2 linked regions of the Oryctolagus cuniculus genome follow. The protein of the gene in region 1 interacts with the protein of each later gene in a pairwise test. Links are inferred from orthologs where the notes say so. Each region holds a gene or a part of one and is shown in the gene's direction. Other genes may lie near its edges.

Region 1 (6,897 bases):
TCTCCAAAGTTTGTCTATGCAGTAGGCATATGTTAGAACTTCATTCCTTTTTATGGCTGAATGCTATTCTACTGTATGGCTAATATCCCATTTTGTTGATCCACTTATTAGCTGATGGACATTTGGGTTGTTTCTACCTGTTGGAAATCATGAATAATGCTGTTATGAACATGGAAATGTTTATTTAAAAATACTTTTATATAAGATTAAGTCTAATTTGTATTTAAATTATATCACAGAAGCATTTTTTCCTTTTTAAACTCTCAACTAAAAATTTCTCTTATGTCAACATACTGGTTAAGTTTCATGGACAAATGGACTTGAATGAAGAAATAATGTGAATAATAAATACTTCGATAGTTAGTGTTATTGTTGCTAATCAATTACAAATCATGCTGAGATAGCAATATAGTGTCCTGCAATTGAATAGCATGTTGAAACTTATCACTTACATGTGACATTATTTTAAAAATTCTATTAATATAAAGATGAGTTCATGTAATTCATAGATACAATTTTAAACAGATTGTGTATCTCCAATTTATTTAATTATAAACATAATGAATAGAAGCTATTGCAATAGTTCAGGGTGGCAAAAAAAGGGATGGTGTAAGTTTATTATTACAATGTTAGCTCATGGCAACGTTCTGTTGTGATGACAGATACACATCAAGTATGTTCATGTAAAACAAAATATGTACCATAAAATCTTGGGATAGTTTAGTGTCCTGAAAGCGGAAAAATCTTGCAATTATGAAATAAAAAAATTTCTCGAAAGACAAAAGTGGTTTTTAAATTTGAAAATACATATGGGGGCTATTGTCCCGTTAATAAAAGCAGCATATTTGTGGTATTTAGTCCCAGGTGGGAGGATTTTTTTTTTTTTTTTTTTTTACTTATTTGAAAGGAGGAGAGACAGAGATATCTTCCATCCTTGAGTTCACTTCTCAAAGGCAGCAACAGCTAGGACGGGGCAGAAACCACGACCCTGGAACCAAGGGTGGCAAGGACTCTCTTGAGCCATCATGTCTGTATCCCAGGGTGGACATTAAGAGGAAGCTGGATCAGGAGCCTTGCTGAGACTCCAACCCCTGCACTCAGGCATCGGATGCCTGTTTCTCAAGAGGCATCCTAACCGCTGCCCCAAACACTTGCTCCTTGATTCAACTTTTATTGATAACGAATGAATCTCAAATTGCACTAGATTACGTTGCATTTATTAAATTTACACTTCAGTCTTCACAGAGTCCTTTATGGATGGTTAGCTTCATTAAAAACTTGATGTTCATCAATATTGTGTGAAACTTCTAAGTTGTAACATCACATGTCTATTAGCAGCCAGCGGTGTCAGACAATCGTGAAATTGAGGTCCAATTCCTGCTTCCACTTGGTGGAAAAGTAACCAACGCCACCACTTGTAATCCCACTAACAACCGCCAGGGAGAGACCAAAGAGGCATCACTTTCATCTTTACGTGGAGTCTTGGAAATCTCCAGCACCATGACGTCCCCCGAAGACGTAGGTGTAGACGAGGAACAAAAGACCCTCGTGGACGCGGCCCTAGGTCCGCCTCCCTCGGGCGCCGTCTGTCCCTGGCCCGGCTCCCGGGGGAGCGCGGGGGCCGCACTGGGTGGGCGAAGCGATGGAGCCTCCATCAACCGTTGAGGACAAGGAGATGGTGGAGAGGCCGAGGGAGGCCGGGGAGGGCCAGCGCACGGGTGTGCAAAGAAGACGGCAGCGCTGGGGGCGTCCCCAGGGCAGGCCTGGGTCCCATGAGCGGGCGGGAGCCCAGCTCCAGGGGAGCCCGCAACTCCCTCCATCTTGGTTGATGGAGGCGGGGAGCGGCGTCTGGGTCTCCCCACCGTCGCGCCCGCGCCCACCCCCCGCCACGGCCACGGGGCCGCGGCCGCCGGAAGCGGGGGCCGTTCCCTCGGCCGAATGGCAGAACCCAGTGCGGGCCGCTCAGGGCCAAGTTTCTGGGCCCCACGGGGTTAGGATTTGAAAGGGTCCCAAGTTCCCAGAGCAGTTCCGACAAAATGGAGGACGTCGTCTCCTCCTGCTGCAGCCATGACGGGAGGTGGGGGGACTCTTCCCCACGGGGGCGAGGCGAGGGTGGAAGTGTCCCCCTAGCCCTCAGAGCCTCTGGAGTCCCCTTATTCCGTGGCCCGGACCGCGCCCTCGGCCTCGCTCTGATTCCTTCCTGGGCTCGCCCCTCGCGAGGGGGATTCAAGGGACTGGACAGGGAGGGCGTTGGGGCATCGAGGCCGCGTACGTCCTCGGGCAGAGTCGTTAGGAGCCGCGGCGGCCTGCGCGTCCCGGTCCAGGCTAGGGCAGGCGTCGCCGCGTCAGCCCTCGGGCCGTCCCAGCCCCGGAGAACCCTCGGGTCCCAGGGGTCGAGCCGCGGCCCGTGCGGCTGGCCACGAAAGTCGGGCTCCTGACCCTGGCGGCCCCGGGGGTGGGGGCGGGGGCTCCGAGGGGAGGGGACGCGGCCGCCAGCCGAGGGCCGGCGGAGGGGGGAGTGGAACGGCAGGGCCGGGGGTGTGGCTCTCGCCAGACAGACAGGCTTTCGGACCACCCCACCGAGGGGGGTCTTGAAGGAAGGCGGACATATCCAATGGCAATCTCTCAAGCTCCTTGGCCCACCTCCGTCGCCTGCCAATGAGCGCGTGGAGGGCGGGGCCTCCCCGGGCTCGGCCGCGCTGCCGCCGCCTCCGCCTCCTCCTCCTCACCAGCGCTAAAGCCGGGACTGGACCGAGCGGAGTTGTGCGTGTCGCCGAAGGGGGGTGGGCCGGGGGAGGGGAGGTTCGTTCCGCGGAGCCGCAGCCAGAACCGGGTGAGGCTTCTCCCCGCTGTCTTTCCAGTCCAGGGCCGCCGAGAGTGGGGGTGGCTGGGAGCAGCGCAGCCTCCGGAGGAGGAGGCGGAGGCGGAGGCGACTGGGGAGGCGGAGATGGGTGAGGGCAGCCTCCGGAGCCTCCCACCGACCCGGGCTTAATACCCCGCGGCGCGGCCGCCGTCGCCGCTGCCGCGTCGGGGCCTCGGGGGCTGCTCGGGGCTGCGCTCATGTCACGGGCGCCTTCGCGTGCGGCCCGAAGGCTGCGCGGGCGCGGCCGGGCGGGCTGGGTGAGGCGGACGCCGGCGGCGGGGGTCGCCGGGCCGGCGGGGCCGCGGGGCGGGGGGTGCGGGCCGGCGGGGCGGTCGCGGGGTATTTTCCTTTCTCTCCTGCGGGGGTGGGGGGGAGGGGCGCCGGTCGGCGATCGCGCTCTCGGGGCTGCGCGCCCACCCTGTCGGCCCGAGCTGAGGTCTTCAAGTTTTTTCGGGGCGAGGGCTGCTGCCTGTGGCCCCGCCGGGTCCCCTCCTTCGCTCTGCTCTTCCCCGGCGCTGCGCTGCGCGGCTCTTGCTCCTCACGTATTGTTTGGCTGGGTCTCTAATGGCGGACGGGGAGGCAGCGCTGCCGGTCGCCGACTGCAGGGGGGGGCAAACCTCGGGCCCAGGGCAACAGCTTGGGGCAAATATGGGCGATATCTGCCCAGCAGTGACGTGAGCCGTCCCTACTTCCAAATTGGTGCTGAGAGTGATGGGAATGACGCTGGGTGGGCGAATTTAGGAGGGAATGCACATCCCTGGCTGGCATCGAGGCAACGTTTGCCCTTCCCCCTCCCTTTCCAGGAGCGGGCTTGGTGCCCTCGGGCCACTCTCTCCCCCAGATCTTGGCTTTCACGTGGATTATTGGCCCCCAATACATATTTTTGCTGCTGTTGCGCCCCACTTACGTTGGAAGGGGCTGTTTGCAGGGTGGGGGTAATAATAGAAGGGCCGTACTTCCTTGACCTCTTATTGCCTTTTCTGCCTCCTTCTGGCGAAAAAGGCTCGGTGTTCCCACCAGGTTGGGTATTCTTGCTCCATTTTCCATTTTTTCTTTTCATCCCAGGACCAGGAATCACCTACAGCCCTGTCTGGTGCATCTTTGGCAGAAAGTGAGGAGGAAAACACCCCCATTGTGAGTCCTTTGCTCCTGATTTTGCTGCTCTGTAAAGAGGATGTTGTCAGGTTGTAGAGGTTCAGCCTTGGGACTTGGCCCTTCCCGTTGTTTTGAGGGGGAGGAGCTTTCCCCTTGGGTGGCAGCTGCCCCCGGGGCGAAGCCCGGGTAATGGCTGTTGAGGCAGCTGGGAGTGGGCGCTGCTGTTTGCACCGCTGCAGACATCGCTCCTGCTGCTGCAATACCAACCTCAGCAACCAGACGACGGGCTTCTGCAGCTGCTCACGTTACTGGAGAGGAGGGGTGGTGCGAAGGAGGGCATATTTCTGGTGCCCTCTAGAGTTCCAAAGTGGGAATTCAAGTTACTTCATTTTAAATGCTATGTATGTATCCATTTTTGACATCCCCCCCCCCCCAATGGATCACTGATTTAAAGGATTGGGAGCAGTCTTTTAACTTTTTGGTTATATCCTGATCTAAAATAGAAATGTTATGTCCTGATCTAAAACACAAATTTTGTCTCTTATGGTTCATGAGTTACTAGATCTTTTTCATATTTTTGCTTGGGAACGGGCATGGAGGGCTGGCCTCTGATCTGTAGTGTCTTAGATCACCAGCTTGTATGCTGGTTCGACCAGTATACCGATCTAGTTACCTTTTCTCCCATCTAACGTGTTGGTCATTCTTAAGACGCATTCTTGATTTGATGCTTGTAATTTGCTGTGCAATCTTGGAGTGTGTTAGACAGTGAGATAAAGGTTACTGGTTAAATTGTACTTCAGTTCCTTGAAACTAGTTACAGAGTGTCAGTGAAGTCAGCACTCTGGATACATTATATCTCTTGAACCTGTTTACAGTTGATACTGTGACTTTCAGGGCTCTGGCAATGGTGGGACATAAGTGTAGTAGCTTATGACTAAATGTTTTGTCCAAGTGGGTCAAAAGATACTGAATTCAAGATAAGGAATTGTCTAATACAGATTGTGAAAGCTGATATGATGTTGGCAACTTAAATTGAATACACACTATTTTAGGTACAGTGGGACACATTTATGTGTTAATTTCCTTTAATCTTAGCAAGTATTGTGCAGAGTAATAAAAGCATTTATTGAGCTGTATATACCAGCCCAATTGTAAGCTTTTAAAAAAACTTTATTGTGGAAGCATTACAATTCCTAAGTGAGAATAGTATACTGGATGTCCATACTTCATATTCTAAAATTAACACATGTCCAAACCAATCTTGACATGTATTAAGTAATTTAATCATAACCCAATGATGGAGAGACTGTTTTTATTGCTAATTTGTAGAAGAGTAAACAGACATAGGGAGATACCCAACAAGAGTATTCAGTAGAGCGAGGATCTGAATTTAAGCAGTTTCTTTACAGAGGCTAAGTTCAGCAGCTACACTCTACTGTTTTAAAGTACATTAAATGCTTGTTTTACAAATTAGAAATTTAGACAGTGAAAAAAAATCCAAGGTTAGTCTTCTCAGTTTATTGTCTTTCTACTTAGCAAATGGTGTATAAACAAATAGAAAGTACTGTGCCTCATTGAGTACCTTTTTTTTTTTAAATAAGAAAGCTATAGTTATCAGTTACTTTTTAAAAAAAGATTTTACTTACTTGAAAGGCAGAGTTAGAGGGGGTGAGAGAGAGAAACACAGACCTTCATCTGTTGGTTCATTCCCCAAATGGCCGCAATGGCTGAGCCTGGGCCAGGCCAAAGCCTGGAGCCAGGCATTTCATATGGGCCTCCTGTGTGGGTGACACGGGCCCAAGTACTTGGGTCATTTTCCACTGCTTTTCCCAGGTGCATTAGCAGGGAGCTGAACTGGTAGTGTAGTAGCTGGCACATGAAGCAGTACCCATATGGGATGCCAGTGATGCAGGCAGCGACTCAACCCACTACACCACAGTGCTGGCCTCATAGCAGTTACTTTTTCATGCTAACTCACCAAATGCCTGCAGCAGCCAAGGCTGGCACAGCTGGAAGCCAGGAGCTGGGAACTCATTCCTGGTCTTCCATATGGGTAACAAGGGCCCACCTACTTGAGTCATCACTTCCTTCCTCCAAGGGTGTGTATTAACAGGAAGCTAGAATAGAGGGTAGGTCTGATAACTTGAACCCAGCCACTCTAATAGGTGATGGGTGCATCCCTAGTGGTGTCTCAACTGATAGGCCAATTTTACTGTGTCTGTATGATTTAGTCTGTAGTTTCCTAAATAATATAACTTGAATGAATATATGTTCATTATTTCTCTAATGAGTTTAAACTCTTTAGGCATTAGATCATCCAAATATGATAGATCAAGGATCACATCTTTTCAAATGGATGGACAGTACTTATTACCACATATTTTAACAAATGATTTATCTTTCCAGGATTATTTCTTTTGTTCTTGGTTGAATTGTTGATGATTGGTTAAGTTTGGTAAGAGATTTGGAGATGAGGGACTTAGAAAATGTATAGTTAGGATTTTTCTGAAATATCAGCATATATATTAATGGAATACAATGATTTTTTAAAAAACATCTATTTCTTTTGAAAGAGTTACAGAGAGAGAGGGAGAAACAGAGAGAAAGAGACTTTACATCTATTGATTCATTCCCCAGATGGTCTCAGTGGCCAGTGCCAGGCCATGGTGAAGCCAGGAGCCAGAAACTTTGTATGGGTCTCCCATGTGGATGGTAGGGACTTAAACATTTGGGCCATCTTCTGCTGCTTTCTGAGGCCATTAGCAGGGAGCTGGATTGGAAGTGGAGCAGCTGGGACATGATTTGGCATCCATATAGGATGCCAGTGCTGCATACAGAGGCTGTACCTGCTGCACCACAACACTGGCTCTGATTCTTTTAAATAATACCAAAATGTGGTTCTCATTTTGCTATTTAATGACTTAACTAAGAATTAAAAT
Region 2 (6,194 bases), on another chromosome or scaffold:
CCGAAGATGGATTCTCCTCAAGACAAGCACATGATCATCAAACGAAAGCTTAAAAGTTAAGAAACTTCTATAGCAGTTGACAAGGTTGACATTTCATTAACTTGTTGGTTCAGCCTTCAAATGATTTTGTGTGGCAAAGCACCCACTATTTGGAGTTTACAGCTTTTTGTCCTTCCTTCCCTCACAGACTACAGTCATGTTTAATTTGGAATCTTGGCTCCTTTGGCAAATTAGCAATTAGAACAATTTTGTGGGAATATGTATATGTGTCATTAGTTTTCCTGCAAATTAATAGCGAGGGCAGAGGTCAGGCAGAAATTTTCCACTTGACTGCAGCTCCTCTATTGAGACTTGGCACTTGATTTTGGAATGGCCACAGCTGCTCTCAGCCACCCTCTTCCTCCAGGAACTGTCTTTTAATTAGTTTACCTCATAGCCATCATTACAAATATTACTGCCTCCCCTCCTCGAAATAAAATTACTGTTTCTACAAAATATTCCAGTGACATCTTGCACCACTGCACATGGATGGTGGGGTCACCCGAATGCAGCATTTAATCATTAGATCACCTCCATCCGCGTCTCCTAATTAGAGTCCTTACAATACATTTTTATCTGGTAATTAGCTGAGATTGGCTGCTTCCTCTGTGGCTTATTAGAGACAGCCCAGCAGTGGGTGTGAATCATGGTGTCATTTGTCAAGCCTGGTAAACCCCCTCTCTGCTCTCTTCTGGCTCAGTGTTTATTTCCACTACCTAGGTGCCAAAGCACCCAGAAGATTCTTCCTCATCTTTCTCCTTGTCGACTGCTAACCTGGAGGGATTTTTTTTTTCTGCTACTTTTGTTGGTAGCAATAGTCCTAGTGCTGAGACCTTTGTAAAAACGTACAAGACTCAAATTCTTTTTGCATTTGATTGATACTGGGGATTTGTCTGTTGGTCTTAGATATCAGTACCCCCCAAAATGAGTCTGCCCCAGCCTCATGTTGCCATGACTTTATTTCTGACACACTAGATGCGGTGATCTTCCTCACAAAACTGGAACAGACGTGCATGTTCTTTAAAGGCAGAGAGAGAGATCTGCTGGCTTACTCCCCACATGCTGGCAGTAGCTGGGGGTGGGGAGGGAGATGGGGGGAGGTGAGGGGAGGCAGGCCAGGCTTCAGCCGGGAACTCCATCCAGGTCTCCCATGTGGGTGGCAGGCACAAAAGTACTTGAGCCATCACTTACTGCCTCCCAGAGTGCGCACACGGCAGGAAGCAGGATCGGAAGCAGAGACAGGACTTGAGCCCAGGCACGCTGATAGGGGTGGGCATCCCAAGCTGTGGCATACTCACTATGCCCACCTCCATATTTGTTAAGGACATTTATAGCTAATTTTCACTACATTTTTAAGGTGGCCACAATGTTTAGGATCCTGTTCTTAAGCTGAAAAGAGAAGCCAAGAAGTGGAATCAGTCCTGGGAATATTTTTGTGGTTATCGTGTACATTTGTCTTTGACCAATCTCTGCTTTTAATGGTGAGCTCTTCAAGGATATCAATCATGTGTTTTATTCCTGTTTCCATTATTACAGGACCTTCTGACTTATATTTGCTCAGTAATACTTTTTGAATGTTATTTGTAACAGAGATAATAGCTAGTCATTGAATCCTTTTCACAAATGAGCACACAGAGAAGTCAAACCAGTTAGTGTTTGTTTTTCCCATTAACCAAGTATAAGATGATCAATCTGGACAAGAACCACACAAGTTGCGGTTTGACTGTGGGTTTGAGTTGGGAACATGAGAAAGCTTTTTAATCTCTCCAAGCCTCAGTTTGCTTATCTCTAAAATGTGGGGAAGAACACCTCAAATCAGCGATGGTATGAGAAAGGAAAGAAACCACCAAGTGGCAGGTGTTCTAAACCAGGACTCTGGAACTGATCTCCGTGACTCCACAGCAGCGTCTGAATGATAAAGGTTATGTGCTTAGGACCTTTCTGCATGAGTCTTGTCCACCCATTGCTCGTGCTGATGTGTTCTCGTACTTTTCTCGGGCCTGGTCAGTGAAGAAGGCCCGTGTCCAAGACCGGGTCAGCCCCAACTCCTGTCGGTGGGCTCCCCAGCACCGCCCCGCTACACTGTTGTTAGCACTTAGTTTGCGAATGTGTGCCATGAAGTCAGGTTGCCAGCTCGATTGAAAAGAGCAACTCCGAGCATATGCCCAGCCTGCTGGGGGATCTGTGAAGGTAGTGCCATCTCCGTAGCCTGCTGTCCTCCGCACTGAGGTCTGCGGTTTCTGCTCAGGGAACAATCCAGGCTGAAGATAAGAAGGAAAGCACAACTCAAGGTTCTCGACTGCCAGCATCATGTTTACACTTCCCATTAATATTTCCTCAGCTATATTTGATTGTCATTTTCTTCCCTTGGAACTCCCCTCATTGAGGATTCTGCTGGCCTTTTCACTATTAGAGTATGGAGTAAGAATCGTCTCCACCAGTGGAACCCTTTGAAGCTCTTCATTGGTTGTGGTCTCAGAGGAATCTCATTTGGAGTACCTTACACAAACAGTGCCTGTACTTCAAACTGAATGTAGCGGTGGTGAAATCCCGACTGCTTACGGGAATGCAAAATCCTCAGTGAGACAAGGTTACGAAGGGCTGAAGATTCGTGGATTTAGGGGAGGTTCTATGTATCTAAGATAACAATTCTGTGCAAATGGTAACAAATACGCTAAAAACGGTTCTTCAGCATTTCCAGGCTTAACATAATATTTCTGTTGCAACAAAATTTGAAAAAGGGCTATTCCTTCTAGTATTCATAGAAATAGCACTTGGAGGCAAAGGTAAAATAGATAAATCAAAATAGCATTCATTTTCTTCAATACTATTCCTAGTAAATAATACTCATTTCCTTACTTAATGTAGACTGTTTCATTTTACAGCCTGTTCACAATTTAAAGGGAAATTTTTTTTTTTTGCCACCTTTTAAAATGAATAGATTCTGATCCTATATTGATAGAGGCTAATGAAGATTACACAAAAAGCTTTAAAATACCAATGTCTGCCAGCTGATTGAAATGATGGCTTATCAGGTCTGTGCCAATCTATTTAATATGAGATATAGGCCATTCCCATCATCAGTGAAATCTCTATGCTGGAATTGAGTAGTTTATCCTTGTGCTGTCCAGTGTGGTAGCTACAAGGTCACGTGACATTGTTTTGATTCATCAGGGTTTAATTTTAATTACAATTAAGTAAAAATGGTTTTTCAGATGTGCCAGCCCAGAACAGAAAGTTATTTTCTGTTGGACTGCCGAGGTCCAACAGAAATGCATTCCAAGTGGTGTTCCCTCAAATACTTGTCTTTGCTGGTGGCTCTGAGAACTCCATCTCCCTCTCGGAGGCTTAGCATGCTTAGTAGGCTATTAAAGAAGGTGAGATGTCACGATTACAGACCCGTCGGTGCTGCAAAGCTTCATAATTTCACTAGGCTGGGTAACCCCTCTGTGTCTGTCAACACCCGTTTAGCAGCTTTCGGAAAACACCTGTCTCACTGCAAAGAGGGGAGAACAATGCAAGAAGCCTCTCAGAGTAAATACTGAAATGAATTGTTTCCACACTCGCCTTGCTTTTCGGTTGATTGTAGACATAGCTACTTAGAAAAACAACACTGCCAGGCGTCCACTGTCTTACTCTTGCTTTCTTGGTTACTGTGTTTTCCTCAAGGTCTTCCTAATCAGTGTTCTTTCCCTCGCAGCTGAATCTGGTGTCAAGCGTCACGCTCTCCAAGTCCGCATCAGAGGCTTCTCCACAGAGCTTACCTCATACTCCAACGACCCCCACCGCCCCCCTCACTCCCGTCACCCAAGGCCCCTCTGTCATCACCACCACCAGCATGCACACGGTGGGGCCCATCCGCAGGCGGTACTCAGACAAATACAACGTGCCCATTTCTTCAGGTAGCTACTCCATGTTTGCCTCGTGTCAAAGTATAATCTGCAATTCTTGTTGATCAGCCTCTTTTTAAAAAGTGATAATTAATAGGACAATGATTCTTATTTAGCAGATATTGCGCAGAACCAAGAATTTTATAAGAACGCAGAAGTTAGACCACCATTTACATATGCATCTTTAATTAGGCAGGTAAGTAAATAATGCGGTTTGTGAAACTATATCAAAAGGTGTACGTGTACGTGGATATATTATATTGATGAAGTAGATTTAAAACCGTTTAGTATGCAAGCATGCTAAAACCTTTTCTATAAGGTTTTTTAAAACTGCAATATATAACATAATTGCTTTTGATTAAGTATTACAATACGATGTGATTATTAGGAAATTCATTTCACACAACAGTGAAAATGAGCCTGTTTAAAGATGGCAAGTCAATTATCACAAGCTACAGTAATCTCTGATCCCTAGAATTAATCTGAGCTCTAAATAATTACTGAGCTTTAATCAGCTAGTGAAATGTTTTGCATTTCTCTTTGATTCTGCTTTATGAATGACTAATAAATTAATATTTCTGTATGGAAACAGAAATAAAAACTCAAAACAATTAGATAATTCCATTTTGAATTTTGCTATTGAACTGTTAAATACAACCATTAATCTTAGATCATTTTGTGAAACCTTTCTTAAGGTTTAGCTCTGAGTCACAGTTTATATTTTCAAAAAACTGTATAATAACAATTTTGCTGATTTGGTCATAAATTATCTTCTGCTGTTGCTTTGTGCTTTACAGGCCATTCTCGAATCTCCAGAAAAGCAGCTAACACTAAATGAAATTTATAACTGGTTCACACGCATGTTTGCTTACTTCCGGCGCAACGCAGCCACGTGGAAGGTAAGCAAGCCTTCTGTCAGGCCTGGTCCATCCTGGGTCTTGACTTTTATAGCAGAGTCTGCTTTTAATAAGATGCGGTTTTTGGTCTACTAGGAAGTTACATTTATATGGTTTGGATACACACAAAGTGGTCAATCTATAGGAATATGTGAGATTTCAAAAAGTTACTGGAAAATGTGTATTATGACAAAAAACTATTCATGAATTTCAAAAGTTTTTTGCACCCAAATGAACTGTCTTAATTCCATTTTCCAAAACTTTTCGAAGTATCCCCTATTTTTTTGGGAAAATAGTCTGACTGTGGTTAAAATGCTTGGATGGAAGACTCTCGTTACACTGGCATCAGATGTGTGGATGGAACAACCAGTAAAATTACCTCTTTCTGGTTGCAGTATTTAGGAAAGGGAGATGATACTGTTGCCCACCAACTTCATACTGTTAGGTCTTTAACCACAGCTGGTACTTGCATGTATACAGAGATCACTTTCTCACCATTAGGAACCTGGAGAAATGAACCCACAAACCTGACCCAGCTTTCATTGGATTAAATCATGAGACTGCCCCTCAGAGGTCCATGCATGCTTCTAAGTTATGAAACCTGATTCTCACATCCATCGTTATCTGTTGGGTGCCCACAATAATTGGGATCACATGGCACACCTCATTCCCAGTTCAGTAGTTGATTCATAGATTCCATTAGTATGTATCCTGTTGGATTAGGATAAGCAATAGTGTTTGAAATTTCCCACTTTGAATACCTTGGTGTCTTATTTTTGCATATAAAAGAGGGCAAGTACATGCTGACACTTGTATTTTTTTTTACCTGAAATTTTTGTAATCCCTAAACTCCAAAACATTTAGACACATTGAATGCAAAGATCTTAAGATATTTTTACATGTAATTAGTGTAAACAGGATAGGTATTTACTACAGGATGCCAAGAACACTTGATTTGCTTGAAATAAATGCCTTTTATTTTATATGGTAGAGAAACAAAAGCAAAACCAGAGCACACAATTCTTTTGTTAAATCCTTGACAAATTAGCATTTTAAAAGAAAAATGCACATAACCATAGAATTAATTTATCAGTTTATGGCCCAAATTATCCTCCTGCTTCCATTAAGACACATGGGCGCTGAAGGATGCCTGTGTTCAAAATCTTCCCTCTTTCCCCTTAGCCTGCCTTGGGAGATAAAATACAAAGAAAGAATCTTTAGAATGCTTAAAAAAATTCAGGTAGTAGACGCATGAAGCAGACATTTTCTTCAAATTGCCTTTTATAAATAGCAAATGATCAAATTTAAAAATAATTACCAGTTGCAAATATAATACTTAAGCTCAGATCTTCAGATTTAACTTCTCCAT

The links. The genes of interacting proteins can lie anywhere in the genome.
Region 2: the proteins of ZMYM2 (region 1) and FOXP1 come close enough for resonance energy transfer, tested with the Homo sapiens proteins (2 studies listed by BioGRID). The link is inferred for Oryctolagus cuniculus from reciprocal best matches to the Homo sapiens genes ZMYM2 and FOXP1.

The regions. Positions count from the first base shown.
Region 1 is NC_091440.1:90,902,958-90,909,854, forward strand, and holds the start of ZMYM2 (zinc finger MYM-type protein 2), read left to right. Parts: upstream 1-2,636; 5' UTR 2,637-2,833; exon of another isoform or gene 2,834-2,951; intron 2,952-2,981; exon of another isoform or gene 2,982-3,120; intron 3,121-3,928; 5' UTR 3,929-3,997; intron 3,998-6,897. UniProt on the Homo sapiens protein: Involved in the negative regulation of transcription.
Region 2 is NC_091441.1:78,256,600-78,262,793, forward strand, and holds part of FOXP1 (forkhead box protein P1), read left to right. Parts: intron 1-3,739; coding exon 3,740-3,941; intron 3,942-4,045; coding exon 4,046-4,125; intron 4,126-4,726; coding exon 4,727-4,828; intron 4,829-6,194. UniProt on the Homo sapiens protein: Transcriptional repressor. Can act with CTBP1 to synergistically repress transcription but CTPBP1 is not essential. Plays an important role in the specification and differentiation of lung epithelium.